Daphnia pulex: one gene and its partner. The protein of the gene in region 1 purifies or fractionates together with the protein of each later gene. This does not show direct contact. Links are inferred from orthologs where the notes say so. Each region holds a gene or a part of one and is shown on either strand. Other genes may lie near its edges.

Region 1 (3,462 bases):
TTAGGGAAACGGGGCCGCAGAAAAGAAGGGAGCCCAGATATGAACTTGTAATTTATCTAAAAACTACACAATTGATCAGTCTTGAATTACAGCATCCTCTCGTCAGTTTCACCATCCGATGGGTCAGTCTTTGGAAAGGCGACGACGGATTCACCTGAAAAGAGATTAAAGTAAGATTTTATTAATAACGATGCGTTGAGAAACAAATCAACAAAAAACAATGGAGAGCACTTCAAAAATATTGAATCAAATCAGCAAATCACAAATATGCACTTATTGTTTTCTTATGCCATATCCTATAGTTCAGGAAAAATTACGATTTTGCCCGAATATCTGATATTCGACTGTTAGTTCTTTTGGGCATCAAATAAGTACTAAATTAAGTACTGACTCTTTTTAAATCCGAAAGTAGACAAGCAAATTACATGAGACTACCAAGTGAGCTTTGTAGCTTACGGTCAGTTATCACAATTATCTAACGTAATAACTGCCGATAGTCTTATATGTCGATAGAATTGCGTAAAATAAAAGAAACTGAAACAGCGAAACTATTGTTTTTTCTGACTGATGAAAAACGATCTAAGCCATCGTCTAGCCTTGTAAACAAGAGATATTTAAAGTTTTAAACAGCAAAATTAAAAAGATCCATGCTCTAGCTAAATCAAGACTTATACTAAAATAAGAAACAATCATAACAAACAAAAACATAAAAAAACCTAACACTCACGCAAATTATACTGCCACATTATCACAACCAAAGTTCTTTCTTTTAAGGCACCGTTCTCTGGACAAAATATTTTCCAAAATTCTGATCAGAATCAAAAGAAGAAGTAAAAGGAATTAGTATAAACTTTACAGCACAACTTACAGTAAAACTTACACCACGAATATGAAGAGAATTTCAGTTGGATATTTTGCATTTGTCCTTGATTATCTTTGGTTGCAATTGAAGAACAACCTGGATCATGCTATTTTCCTGGATTTTTTCCTAATGGACATGGATTTCACTGTTTCAAAAAATCAGATATCAAAAGAATTGATAAGTGTTGAGGAAATAAAAAATACAAATTGTTAAATCAACTAAGCGCAATACACACTTAATCTGCTTTACCACATTATGCTACTTAACAAACATTTTGAAATGCTAAAAAGCTCACTTTAAAAACTGCATCGAAACGTGAAAGACAGTAACTATAACCGTACACACTAACCATGGCAGTAGAAAGATCATGTGATGTGATTCGTCTACTACTAGATAGCTTAAGGTTGATTCATTTATTACTAGATGGCTTCTGTGTCAAAAATATAAAAGTTGATTCATTTATTACTAGATGGCTTCAGTGTCAACACAAGAACAGAAAGAACATAAACAAAGGCCGTTTTCAGTCGTAATAAGAAATAAGCTTACGAAATCCTTCAAGTGTGAAAATAAAAATCTATGTTTTCAGCATTGGTTATGTCAGTGAAATAATGTCAAAAGTTAACAGTTCTTTCAGAGTAAGAATATATGAATTACCTCTGAATCGCTTCGCAAATGTTGCGTTGCCACAGTTTCTTGGACAGCTACAACAACATGAAAGCAACCTAAATAAAGTTGGTCTTTATGATTAATGCACATTTCTATTATTATTTTATAATTTAACTGTTTCATTTGCATAGCATATCAAGGAGAAAGATTGGGACAAAGTACGAACTGAACAGCTAAAATTACAACAGGTTGCTTCTCAATTGCAAGCTGCTCTACGAGAATTAGAAGGAGTTGGATGTCAGTTGAAACCGGAAGATGAAAAGGAGTTTGAAAATAAAATTAGACCTTACAGAATTCAAGCTTTAAATGCTGTAAAAAAATTTAAACAAAACCCGAATGAAAACTTTGATTCCCATGTATCGGAAAGTGAACAAAAGCAACAATTGATGCTAAGTCAAGAACAGATTTTACCAGAAGAAATTGAAGTAGAGCAACGAAAAATTCAGCTTGAGACATATGAAGATTTGCAAAAAGATATAGAGGAGTTACACAACCTATTTTCAGAATTTGCTCAACAAGTTCATGTAAGTCTCCTTGATATATATATATTTTTTTTAAAACAATAACATTGATAAAACATTTAATGTAGACTCAAGGAAGTACAGTCAGCAACATTGAAAGCAATGTTGATGATGCTCTAGAAAATGTTAAAGAAGGACAACAGAATTTGGCCAAAGCTGCAAAGTTTAAGGCAACTATGTATCCAGTAACAGGAGCTCTTATTGGTACTTGTATTGGCGGCCCTGTTGGCTTTCTTGCTGGCTTAAAAATAGGTGGGCTTGCAGCACTTGGAGGTTCTTTATTGGGCTTTGCAAGTGGTCGTGGTTTAAAGAAATGGCAAGAATCGGTCGTTAATGAACCAGCTGAAAATTTAACCAAAAGTCAGTCATCTCCTGTTAATTTAGGCAATACTTCTGGATCAAAAACAGTTCCACACTCAATCAGCTTTAGGTAACTTTCTAAAATATTTATAGGGATTGATTAAAATAAAAATGGTAACATTTCTTTATTTTTTTTTAAAATCTATACGTCGTCACCAGTGGTTCACATCAGAAAGAAACGATGGCGATTGATTCCAAACGTGATGACTGCGACCGTGATCGACTACATCTAAAAAACCTATAAGTGGATTACTATATTTATCTGGACTGAAACTGTAATATAACGTTTGCGAAGTTTTAAAATGTCGTATTTATGAGTATTCTCTTGTAACGTGTTGACTTAGTTAGTTAAGTATATCCTACGTCTTGTTAGTGGGTGGACTCCTGTAGTTACAAGTTGGTCGTTCTCGATTGTTGGAAGAGGCGTAAAAATCTGATTCTCCTGGATCGAAATCTTAATTCCCGCAGGGAGACTAAGATGCAGTGAATTCTAAATCGAAGAAGTCAAACATTCCATGTTTTCGAATATTTGTCAAGTCAAAGAAGTTGGCGAAGCCAAAGAAGATTGTGAAATGTATAAAGTACGACCATAAGTAGAACTCGGCGCAACCCGAAGATTCCGATCGTGTGCAAACTAGCCTGTGTTTCGTATTGTAACACACTGCTCTTGAGAAACAAAGGGGATCAAGCCCCGCTTCCCCTGCCCTTCTAGAAAACGGCGGAGTTCGAAGAACTGGGTAAGTGGATGGCAAATCTGCAAATAACGTCCCGTCTTATTATTGCTCAGAACCACGAAATAAATAAAAGAGATCCAGCCAAGTATAGTAGGATTCCAAAAGAAATTGGATGGCAAATCAATAACCCGAAACTTGACAGAATACTTAGTAAAGAAGGCTGTAAAGAAGGAGCTTGATTGGGCATGGCTTTCCATTTAAAAGTTGAAAAAGTTTCACTTCAAGGAGTCGACACAATGAGTTTACAAACATCGCTCTCGCATAAAACAAGCCAAAGAGCATCGCGGTCAAATTATGGCATCCATGATGAAAATTGCAT
Region 2 (3,889 bases), on another chromosome or scaffold:
CAAGGGGTTTAAGAACCAGGTTTTGAAATGGCCAGTCAACCCATTGGATATCATCATCACTGATCTTATGAAAGGGTAAAATAAAACAAGCCATGTGCTAAAAAATTGCTTTAATTTAACAAATGAAAATTTTTTTTTTAGTCCTAGAAACTGGGTGATAGCTGATTTTGGTTGTGGTGAAGCTCAGATAGCAAACACCATTCCTAATAAAGTTCACTCTTTTGACCTTGTAGCAGCAAATGACAAAGTTACTGCTTGTGACATGGCTTCTGTTCCTTTGGCAACCAAAGCTGTTGATGTGGTATTTCAGCATTATTTATGCATTATAAATTTTGATCAAACAACAGATATTGCTTGTTCAGGTGGTCTTCTGCTTATCTCTCATGGGTTCCAACATACATGACTTTTTAAAGGAAGCTAATAGAGTCCTTAAAATTGGGTAAATGCTACATACAGATTTTAAAAAATAATAATCTTTATTGATGTAATTTTTAAATTACAGTGGTACTTTGTGTGTAGCTGAAGTTGAAAGCAGATGTAGCAATATTAATGATTTCTTGAAAACAATTGAACGTTTTGGATTCCAACTCAAAGAAAATAACGTTCAAAAATACTTTTTTCTCGCAAAGTTTAGCAAGATTCAAAACATGAGTCCCAAAGCAACTATGCCAAGAATATATTTGAAACCTTGTCTGTACAAAAAACGATGAATAGAAAAGTACACATAAATGTTGAACATCATAACAAAGAAACCGACTCATTATATGTTACGAATGTACAGAAACGTATTTGGTTGAAATAGAATGTTTGTTTTAAAAACTGAAAGAAAAATTAGATCACGCGCAGAATTTGTGCATCAACTATTTTGAATGCATGAATGCCAATTCAATCCTCCACATGCTATGCTAACGACAAAATACACAATAACCTACGGAAAAATAGATATTTTCAATTAGATTTCATTTAAAATATTATTCCGAATTTTAGAATGTAGTTCAGGTCGATAAATGGTAAAAAAAAAAAAATTACGAATGAAATAAAGATAGTTATTTAAACTGTAAAACAATTATAACATACCAAAATCACGGCAGCAGTAATTGCTGTTATTTTTATGTTTTTCCAGAACAAGGAATTAGCCAAATTTCGACTTGATTTCCGGAAAGTAACAGCCTAAAAACAATTTAAAATAACTTACTTGGTAAACCAAAGTAAAATTTAAAAATATCTAAAATATACATACTGACGCGCTGAGGCTTTCGGTTTTATTAACCAGTAATTCTAATCTTTCGCCACGTGCCGCTAAGGAATCTAATAATGAGCAAAATTAAATTAAATGGTATTATGTTACTACTGCTGGAGGTTGCAAATTCTTGCTGGCTCGTATTTACACTTTACCTATATTTTTCACCATTACATCTTTCAAGTCGTCCAATTCTCCTTGAACTTGAGAAACGGTATCGATATCTCGAGATTCAGAAAAGTGTTTCTGGTTTTAAAAAAAAAATCTCAGTAATGTCTGAAATAATTGAGAAGAATTTCACGACTTACCATTAGCCCTGCCAAAATTTTCGAAAACTCCGTGTTCATAGCATATGGTAGAGCAGAGTATGCATGGGCTCCAAAAGTATTTACAAATTTCTTTTTAACTTCATTCAAAAATAAAAATGCTCTTGAACGTTCAAATTCCTAAAATAAAGGTTTCTATTTATATATCATCTTCTACAATTGCAGACAATAAAAAAAAGATTTACATCATCTGAGATGCAAAGATAAATTATTCTGTCTTGCAAAATATAGTGGAACAAAAATGATCCATGAGAGTAGGTCATTTTTGAATCATCAAGTCCAATTTGAGCTAGAACTTGCTCTGTGATCTCAGAAAAGTTTCCAGTACAATTATTGGCAAATCTAGCCAAAACAGTGTTTCCTCTACTAACAACACTATATAACAGCGGCATTTTCCTTCTAAAAAATTAACATATGAGATTATGTAATAAAGACTAAATATTTTTTATGGGTCAACTAATCTCATACCAACAAAACTTTCTCGACGATTCAGACGATCTTCAATCCCATCAATAACTTGACGAACGTGTATAAAAAACTGCAGAGAAACTCACGATGGATTACAGAACTTATGAAGGAGCAGATATTATGACACTCAAAAGACGTTGCTATAGTTTTGGATAGTTGTAGGACGAATATAATTAATTTTTGTAAGTATTAAGGATTAAACAACCTATCTTAAATTATCAAATGACAATCCACTCCAGTCAATGACTCAATGTTGACTATTGTCGGAACCACGTTATAGAGTCTATGGTTTGCTCACTCACTAGAGCAGAGCAATAGATACCTGGTCGGTTCTCGGCCGTGTTGGCTTCCCTATCCCGGTTTCAGGGTAAACGTGGTCCGATTTGGAAAAATTGATGAGCGCCTCTAGTGAGTGTGTCAGGTACTACGTGAAGCCAGCCAATCAGGAAGGGTCTATGAAAAACTCATTGACCAATCACAGCTTACTTTTCTACAAGAAGTGAACAAAATAAAAAGGTAGAAGTATCCAACTGTCAAACCTCTAGGTCTTTTCTAAGTGTCCCAACATTCTTACATTTTATTGTTTGGTTGTGTAAATTGTTTATTCTTTGTAAGTGTCCAAACATTCTTACATTTTATTGTTTGGTTGTGTAAATTGTTTATTGTTCCGTTGACATAATACACTACTTCTTGTTTTGAAAATGTACACTTTTCACATTATAATTTTCATTTGGTAGTCGATCCATCGAAATGCAAAAAATCGTTTGTTTAATTTGATCAAAATACCATGTCCAATTCTTTGGTACCATTGATGAAGTTACTAGTGACTGAAATGTCACAAAATTAGACTTGAAATTAGTAGAGCTTGCTTCCATAGAAGGTGATGTAACTGTCGAATCATCAATGACAACAGCAACATTTTCGTTCATTACATCAGGAAGTGGATCAAAAATTGCTTCTTCAGCAGCCTGGTGAGTGTCCATTGATTCTTGAATAGTAGAGGTAGCTTCCATAGAAGGTGATGCAACTGTCGTATCTTCCATGACAACAGCAAGATTTTCCTTGATTGAATCTGGAAGTGGATCAAAAATTGCTTCTTCAGCAGCCTGGGGAATGTTGATTGATTCTTTAATAATTTCCATGGAGGGTGCTATCAGATAAAATTTAAAGCAATTGCTCTTATAAATAAAATGTAACGAGAACTATTATCAATACCTGTACTGTCAAATTTTTTTCTCTTAGACGTAGTAGGTATTTTGTCTACTTTTGGTCGTTTCCTTACTGATGCATTGCTAGCATTTGTTTCCACTACAATACATATTTAAGAATTGCGTTATTTGATATTAAACAAAATAAACATATTTAAAAATACCATTAAGGTTATTTCTCCATTTGAAACCATCAACATTTTGCATTGCTTGTCGACTAGGTGTATCTAAAATGAAAATGGTTCAGTTTCTGTGCTTTACAGATTATACAGGAAATGTAATATCAATACCATTTATCAGAAAATGTTTGGGAATTGCTCCAGCATTACGATTCCTACGTTTGAAAGGATGGAACACGTTCAAAATTTAAATCCCTGATTTGAAGTCACTTTCGTCAAAATGACGGGAGCAAATACGTGAGGTGCTCGTCAAATAACTACATGGAATTAGTTCTCGCCATTTAGATAATGAAGTTTTAGGAATTGCAAACAGGGTAACCTCGTTTTCTTTTTGATTTCCTTTGAAATATGTTGATTTACAACCAGGAACAGCACACCTGCCAACCATTTTTACAGAAATTATGGTTAGGCTTCATTCACGTAATACACGATAATGGCCGCCGTATTCACATATTACACAAAAATGGC

The links.
Region 2: the proteins of syntaxin-17-like (region 1) and vesicle-associated membrane protein 7-like purify together in Drosophila melanogaster (affinity purification with western blotting; 4 studies listed by BioGRID, with this or other methods). This does not show direct contact. The link is inferred for Daphnia pulex from reciprocal best matches to the Drosophila melanogaster genes Syx17 and Vamp7.

The regions. Positions count from the first base shown.
Region 1 is NC_060017.1:5,925,263-5,928,724, reverse strand, and holds syntaxin-17-like, read left to right. Parts: upstream 1-1,329; 5' UTR 1,330-1,470; coding exon 1,471-1,593; intron 1,594-1,659; coding exon 1,660-2,052; intron 2,053-2,117; coding exon 2,118-2,479; intron 2,480-2,547; exon of another isoform or gene 2,548-2,568; coding exon 2,569-2,653; 3' UTR 2,654-2,729; downstream 2,730-3,462.
Region 2 is NC_060018.1:6,537,207-6,541,095, reverse strand, and holds vesicle-associated membrane protein 7-like, read right to left. Parts: upstream 2,327-3,889; 5' UTR 2,240-2,326; intron 2,105-2,239; 5' UTR 2,035-2,104; intron 1,966-2,034; 5' UTR 1,959-1,965; coding exon 1,752-1,958; intron 1,687-1,751; coding exon 1,549-1,686; intron 1,487-1,548; coding exon 1,396-1,486; intron 1,309-1,395; coding exon 1,241-1,308; intron 1,171-1,240; coding exon 1,078-1,170; intron 929-1,077; coding exon 857-928; 3' UTR 711-856; downstream 1-710. Other genes in the region: ribosomal RNA-processing protein 8-like, read left to right, coding at 1-75, 142-301, 363-439, 503-710; uncharacterized protein LOC124188813, read right to left, coding at 2,718-3,184, 3,250-3,342, 3,407-3,449.